Sus scrofa: one gene and its partner. The protein of the gene in region 1 purifies or fractionates together with the protein of each later gene. This does not show direct contact. Links are inferred from orthologs where the notes say so. Each region holds a gene or a part of one and is shown in the gene's direction. Other genes may lie near its edges. The genes, in order: USP33 and ROBO1.

What was found.
Region 2: the proteins of USP33 (region 1) and ROBO1 purify together in Homo sapiens (affinity purification with western blotting; 5 studies listed by BioGRID and IntAct, with this or other methods). This does not show direct contact. The link is inferred for Sus scrofa from reciprocal best matches to the Homo sapiens genes USP33 and ROBO1.

The regions. Positions count from the first base shown.
Region 1 is NC_010448.4:135,522,823-135,526,744, forward strand, and holds the start of USP33 (ubiquitin carboxyl-terminal hydrolase 33), read left to right. Parts: upstream 1-1,583; 5' UTR 1,584-1,779; intron 1,780-3,321; 5' UTR 3,322-3,493; coding exon 3,494-3,523; intron 3,524-3,922. UniProt on the Homo sapiens protein: Deubiquitinating enzyme involved in various processes such as centrosome duplication, cellular migration and beta-2 adrenergic receptor/ADRB2 recycling.
Region 2 is NC_010455.5:175,692,623-175,696,544, forward strand, and holds the start of ROBO1 (roundabout homolog 1), read left to right. Parts: upstream 1-1,661; 5' UTR 1,662-2,792; coding exon 2,793-2,901; intron 2,902-3,922. UniProt on the Homo sapiens protein: Receptor for SLIT1 and SLIT2 that mediates cellular responses to molecular guidance cues in cellular migration, including axonal navigation at the ventral midline of the neural tube and projection of axons to different regions during neuronal development.

The DNA.
Region 1 (3,922 bases):
AAGCCCATACAACTCTGGAGTTCCTGTTGTGGCACAGTGGAAATGAATCTGACTAGTATCCGTGATGATGCGGGTTTGATCCCTGACCTCAGTGGGTTGCGGATCTAGCACTGCCGCGAGTTGTGGTATAGGTCGCAGACAATGTTCAGATTCCAAGTTGCTGTGGCTGTGGTGTAGGCTGGCATCTACAGCTCTGATTGGGCCCCTAGCCTGGGAATTTCCATATGCCGCAGGTTCGGCCCTTAAAATAAACAAAAAAACCCCATAGGACTCCTTTAATTCAGATAGCACTTTGTTTCAAAACATCAGGAAACAAATGATTTTCATGATCATTCTCATCTCTTTTTTTTGTTGTTGTTTGTTTTTTGGTCTATTTTGGGGGCAGCACCGTGGCATATGGAAGTTCCCAGGCTAGGGGCCCAATCGAGCTTAGCTGCCAGCGTACACTACAGCCAGGGCAACATCAGATCCGAGCCGCGTCTGCTGCATCCACCGCAGCTCTCCGCAACACCTGATCCTTAACCCACTCGGATCAAACCGGAGTCCTCATGGATACTATTTGGGTTCGTTACCGCTGAGCTACAGCAGGAACTCCATCATTCTCTTATCTCTTTAAGGAGGAGTATAAATATTTAAAAACATTTAGATATTTGATTTAAAAATTTAACCACATTGCTGACATCCTGTAGACTGCAATATTTTGAAATATGCTGATACTCAGTGAATTCAGGATAGGTGAACATTTATGATGCAAACTGAGACCTTAGTATCAGTCCCTACATAGAATGTTGACAAAGATTCCTTTCTTCCATTTTTACCAAATGAAGAGAATTAGAACCTCTCATATTTTCTACTTGTTTCAGATGGATTTTGAGCATCTTACATAACACTTGAGAAAAGCGCGCATTTGAGAGACCAAAAAGTTAGAGGTAAACAGATACTTCGAAGGTGGCAATTTTAACACTTAATTTATATTAATTTCACTGTTTTTACTGTTTGCATATCAATCACTTGAGAGAATATTAACAGATCCATGAATTAGAAGGGAGATCTCTTCCAATGCTCTAGTCACTAAGCAGGTACTAAGGTTTCAATAAATATTTGATTTGATCTTGATTTTGGCCTAAGGGAAAATGAAAGCGATGACTTTCTACTTTCTAGACGTAGAAAGCGGAACACAATGATTTTCAGAGAGTCTAGGCCCGAAGAATTTGGGAGAAGGAAGAGGAAAGGAAGGGAAAGCGTTGAATTAAGTAGTCTAACATTTCTTTGTGTAAGCTCAGAAACCTGAGGTCATTCATCGGGCAGCCGTAATGCAACTTCTGTAATGCAAGGTCGTAATGTGGTCTAGAAGAGGGGGAGAACACGTGTAAAAACGAAAGGTGCCCCAAATCTACAACTACTCTACACGGTTCCTGTGCTCCTAGCTACTTTGGAAGCCCCATTGGTGAGAGCAGCCTGGGTCCCCGCACCTGGACTCGGCGCCGTGACCACGCCCCGGAGGCGGGGCGGCCTCTCCCAGCAGCCCCGCCCCGCTCTCCCGCGACGCCCGAGGCGCCTGCGGCGGCCGCGGAGACACCGGAAGGAGCCGCGGCTGCTGCGGGAAGTGGCCGGTGCGGGAGGCGGGGACCCCGTGGGCTGAGCTGCGGAACGTTTTCCGGCGCTGTATATGCGACACCGCCCCTCTCCCAGGCAGGGGAGTAAAAGAAGAGTTGGTGGAGGAGCGGCCGCAGGCCATCGTTGGCCGCGCTGGCGGGTCCCTTGGGGAAGGCCGTGGAGGTGAGCGCGACGCTGCTGGGAGGGGCGCGGGGCCGAAGGGCGCATCGTCTGCGGCCGGGCGCTGGTCTGTGTTCTCACTCCCGCGCGGCGACGCTGTGACTGCTGTAGCGGCGTCTTTTTCTTGGTCTGGGGTGGGGGTGGTGGGTGCGCGGGCGGGTAGAAGGCCTAGGCCCTTCCAGTGCTCTGCGCTGCAAGGATGATTGGTGCCCACCCCGAGGGGGGTCGGCGGAGGACATGAGTCGGGGGTAGATTTGAGGCGGGGTCCGCAGGGTGTGCTCCCCCAGGAAGCGGAGGCAGGAGGGGTGAGGCAAGTCCCTGCGAGAGGCTCCGCTCCTTTCCTTGGTCTCCCCATTACATCTTGCCAGTCCCTCACGGCGAACGCAGAAGATTGAAACCCCGCAGCGCGCTGGCTACTGGATTCTGGTTTCGCTTTGCGGCGCAGTTGGCATGATCGGACCCATGCGTACAGCCCCAGGGGCCCCGTTATTCGTTGTTGTCAGCGGGAAGACCTGGGTATTGTCGTCCCTGGAATTTTTCTCCGACGAATATTTGATCTTGACTTTTCAGAGGCTACCCCTTGCTGTCTGGCCATCTGCAGCTTTTGTTTGAGTCAGTTTCCACGGTGTGTGTTTTCCCAGACCTTTATTCTTACATATTTACCTACTACAAAACGCTCTTCATTTGAATACTTACAGGTTGCAGGTGGAACTGTTGGATGATTCTAGGTGTTTCGCTGCACTCACGTATTTTTAGGGTTTGCTTTCTCATATAATTGGTATTAGGCCGGGAAAATTGGGCCAGAGGGGAAAAAGACTGGCAGGAGCATAGGCTCTAAACTGACGCTGAATTTTTAACCACAAGCATTTCGACTTCTTGCTCAACAGAAGAATTTTATGTAGAATTGTAGAATTTTTTAGTTTAATCAGATTATTTTTCTTTTAAGGAAAGCCTGTTTCAAAAACTGATGAGGCTATTTTAGTTCCGTTTCTGGTTGAGGCAGTTATATCATCTGGAAAGCTCTGACTAATGCGGATAATAGATTATTTGATTTGAACCTAATGCAAATATTATTAGCGACTTCATGCTATTAATATAAACAGGGGAAAAAATAGGAATCTTATTGAAAGACAATGCTAATTTTAAGAAAAAGTGGTAGTAATTGTTACATTATGCCAGGCTTTCTGTTATTTACTTTGACAGGGTTGAAAGAAAAAAGGACAGTACAAAAAATATTCCAGGAGTAAAATATCTGACCTCCTGCTGTATACAAGAGGAATAGTCTACTTAAGATTACTTCTTATTTTTGATTTGGTTTATTGCTCCTTTTCAATTTTTTTGTCTTTTCTGGCTATTTATAACCTGCCAGTAAGCAAATAACAGTGCAGTTTTAATAGCATTGGATTGTAGTAAATAATTATTCTAATCTTTATTTGAAATTCAGAGTTAAGGAGATGTCTTAGGTTTATGTATTGCCATTAGAATTCTAATGACCTTTCACATGTACAGTCTTCTTTGAGCCTTATGCCAATCCTCTTGAGTTAGGAATGCCAAGAAAAGTCTTTTCTCATGACGGAAGCATTTCGAGGTTGTGTATGGATCAGAATTTCCTTGAAGCCGGAAGTAATCTTGCTGAACAATCTTTGATATAAATTGGAATTGATATTGGAGCACTGTGAACTATAACACGTGGCAGGCTGTGGACTCTGCAAGGAAAATGAAGTACATAAATGTGAAAGATTTTTTGGTGAGAAACATGAAATGTAGTCATTTCTAAAAATAAAAGAATAAGTAACAGCTTTTATATATACATATTTTTAAAAACTTTCTAAAAAAAGTCTACATGTGACTTCAGAAGCATTTTGGCAAATAGGATAGTTCCAAAAACTCTGAGATGAGTACAATTGATTTGTCCATAAAAAGGAGCACAAATTTTGTACAATATAGTATATATCAAGAGAACTAATACTTAAGAAACATGCGTATATCAAAATAAATGTTCCTTTCAAAAGTTACTTTAGAAGGCTAAGGACTTCAATATCTATAAGTCTACCAGAGGGAAAAAAAAGCTCTTTGGAAAAGAAAAGAATGAAACATGGTTTATTTCCTTAAAGAATTTAGAGTCAGGTTTGTAGTCAAGTAGGGT
Region 2 (3,922 bases), on another chromosome or scaffold:
TTAAAGATGTGGAATTTAGGATGTGACTGACAAATAACTGGCTTTGTACCAATTCATAATTTAGAGCAGACTAAACCCATCCACTCATAATCTTCAGTGTCTTTATATTTAAAGATTTGCAGATTTAAAAGCTGGTCTTAGAATATAACTAGAATTTTCTGTGTATCTATGCTATCTTATAATACTAATGGCCAAGGAAAGCAAATGAGAACATATAAATCAATGCACACTGCATATTTATAATTGCTCCCTCTTGATGATCTCCTAATTCTCATGACCTGAAAGTTAATAGAGCTTTCACTAATGTAGTGTGGATTATAGAGACTAAGATGCTGCTTTCATTTCATGGTTATAATTGACTTTAACTGAAAGAGAATAAATGTAAGCAGGATTTCCTATTTATTTCTAACACCTTGTAATGCTAATGATCAACGAAAGCAAATGACAGCATATAAATAAATACACATTTAGAGAATAAAAGAAGTTATCCTGGCTCTTTAAAGTCATATTTTAATTTAAAAACTTACTGGCTCAAATTAATATCCATAATGTAAGAGAAAATGGACTATCATTCAACAAACTTTTGGTGATTTTCTTTTATGTACAGAAATTATTACTGAATTTAGGACTATAAAGAGACTATAAGACAGTCAGGCCCACAACAAGCTATGTTCCTCCTGTTGAACACACAGGTGCATGGGCACGTTTACACACATACACACACATACACACACATACACACATAAACTCTAAAATAATTGCTGAGATCTCTGCTTCTAGGTGAATAAGTCATGAGAAAAATGGATAATTATGCCTGAGAAAGTCTGAGAAGATAAACTCTCTTAAAGCTATTACACATTAATAGGATTATATAAAGTAGAGATGGGTAAAAGTTATTTCAAGGAGAAAGATAATATGTAAGAAGACCTGACAGTCTGGAAAGTTCATGGTCTTTTGGAGAATGCGAATGTTCCTAGCATGACTTGATTTTATAGTTCATAGTAGGAATCGGAGGGGGAAAAAAAACCTTTCTTTAATAGCCCTAGAAATTCAGACATTTTCTTCTCTTATGATTCCACAGAAAATTGCATATGTATTTTCACTGCATTTTTCATATCACATGAAAAATTGTCTGTTTAATGTCTGTCTAATCTATGAGATTATTTTATGGATATTTTCTGTTGATAATATATCTGATATATTATTGGCATTTAAGGAATGCTTCTTGAATCAAAGAGTCTGAAAAATTTAAATTAGAACCAGATTCAGAACACTCTGCTTTATATGACTGGTTAAGAATTTTACAGTTGTGATATTTTTCTTTAATAATTAGGAGATTCCTCATTATAGTTTGAATTTCTAGCTTCTATTTAAAAATTAAAACATCTGGCAACCCAGAGTCTACAATTCACATAGCAATGCTGACCTGGAGTTGAGTGGCAGTAACCACCCATCACAAAGGCTTTCTCTGTGCAGAGCCACAATCCCCACCTCTCTCTCTTGTCTTCCACTGAGCCTCTTTCACCTGTTTATATTACCTGCTTGGCTGCTGTAGGACTTTTTTTTCCCCCTCCTCTACTGCAGTATAGGCGACTGACAGTAAACAGCACATTCTCAGGTATGTGTTTTAGAAATATGTTTTGGCAGCTGTGTGAGCTATTTAATTAGGTCAGGTTGTAGAATATCATTATGTGTTTAGCAGTATCTTAAAATAGCTTTATATGCTTGTTAAAATAAATGTATTATATTATTGTTATATAATGCTCTTAGAAGCAACACATTTTTATTTTTTTAAAAAATAAATTTTGTCATGAAGTGAAGGCAAGCTTCTCATGTTGGTACAGTGTCGTTCCAAAATAATCAAGACAATGTTGCAATTTGCCTACGGGAAATAGACTTGTTTGTAAAACAGAGAAGTCTAATTTGTGAAAAAAATCTGCTCCGCTCATGAGGTGATAAAAATCATTCTGCAGGAAATAGAAGAGATGGAATATACCAACATGTACTTTATAAAGCAAACAGCTGTTTGTGTTGCAGTGCAGAGGATCCTTGAATGTGCAATGTACATTACATTTCCCTCTTCCATGGCTTTGGGATATTTTTGGCAAATTGTCTTTTTACATTATTCTTTGAATATATAATTTACACAGTACAAGCTAAGTAGTAAAGATGATGGTTTACCACTTCCCTTTGCAGAGGTATTTTTATCATGTCTTGGCAGAGATATTTATACATCTAATCCCTTCTACAAGACATTAGATAGAGCTTCGAGAAAAACTCGAATTTTTTTTTCTTTCCTTAACAACCACCTCTGTTTGAAATGAGGTGTGTTTGCAGTGCCAAAATTAAATATTCAGATTCGTCAAGTACTATAATCTGTGGTACAGAATGGGTAGGAGGGAAAAAGCTGAAATCTCAGCGTTTTCCTGTTATCATGTTATGAAAAATGTTGACAAACATTTGGAACAAGTGAGAGTTGGCAGGAGCAGGTTAGGAACTGGTAGCTGCAGAAGAGACCAGAGAAAATTGTCAGCTCATCTTTCCTGACATTTTGCTTATGTGTAGAGGGAGCTTTTACATCCCTTCTAATTTTTTTTTTTTAATTCCCTACATAATTCAAATGGAAAGCCTGATGAGACCATACCTGCTTTTTTAAAATTTATGGGAAAAACAGCCTTTTTGCATTTCTGCTGAATAAAATGACAGGATTGGCTCCAGGGTTTTCTACTCCCAGCAAAAGCCTTCAGGTTTGTCTGTGACAGGACTCTCCATAGAGGTTATTTTTACCTGGCATGGCTGTGCTGTTACTGATGCTGCTGCTCTCGATGGCAGAAATAACTTCTCCTGTGGGTGTCTCAGGCAGAATGAAAGCTGGATCAAGGTGGAGAGGTGAAAAGAATCGTGAGTAAACAGGAATTTTTACTCTTGGTGCATTTCTTTCTTTCCTCTTTATATTTAGGAATGTATCGGGTCTGCCTAGCTTTGCAGTTCACAGGATTTCCAAGAGGTTGTTTTAAGACTTCGGAAGAATTTTACACATTAAATATGCATGCAGAATAAATGGACTCAACCTTCTCTAGGCTCCACACATCTGCAATATTGTTCTGGATTTCCTTGCAAGACTTTTGTTTGGCTTTTCTAGTTAACTCTTACAATTCCTGAGACTGTAAAGACTTTGAGTAGATAGAAGCCAAAGGCCATATATGTAAGTTAACCTCAGCTCTTCTGTATAAAGTTCAAATAAGTTGCTCGTATTTGTTGATATTCAAATGCTAGCTACGTAATACACTTTTTTACATATAAGCATTTTGTTCTGATGTTGGCAAGAAAGGAAATTTAGAAATAGCAAATGTCATAGGCACTCTGATTTGAATCACTTAAGAGTCTGTGCTTTGCAATTGGGAATTGCTGGTTGATAAATATATTACTCTTTAGAGTCACTAACTTCCTTATTCTCTCCCTATGGACATGCAAGACCATTTCACTATTAAATGTGTTTATATGTTTAAGGCATATGGTATTTAAACTACTATTTCAGTTTTAGAACTGAATCTGTTTCTGGTATCATTATAGAAGAAGGAAATGGATTTGGCATTTGTTTCCCTCAGAACTAATTGGCCAGATCCAGCTACTGGCTTTTCTCCCTTTTACCCTCCCAGATGGTAGAAGGGTCGTGTGTGTGTGTGTGTGTGTGTGTGTGTGTGTGTGTAGAAAGCTTAGAAGTAGCTATATTCCTATCTCCAAGATAGAAGAGGTAGATGCATTCCTCTTCTCTTTAACTCTCTTCAAAAAAAGGATGTAGAGATGAACCAAGGAATCTCTTTGGAAAAGGGGAATGTTTCAAAATATTGTTGAGTGCTCAGAAGAGGCAATGCCAATGAACCTATTTTACTGAAACTCCAATTTAGAAGATTCAAGTAGC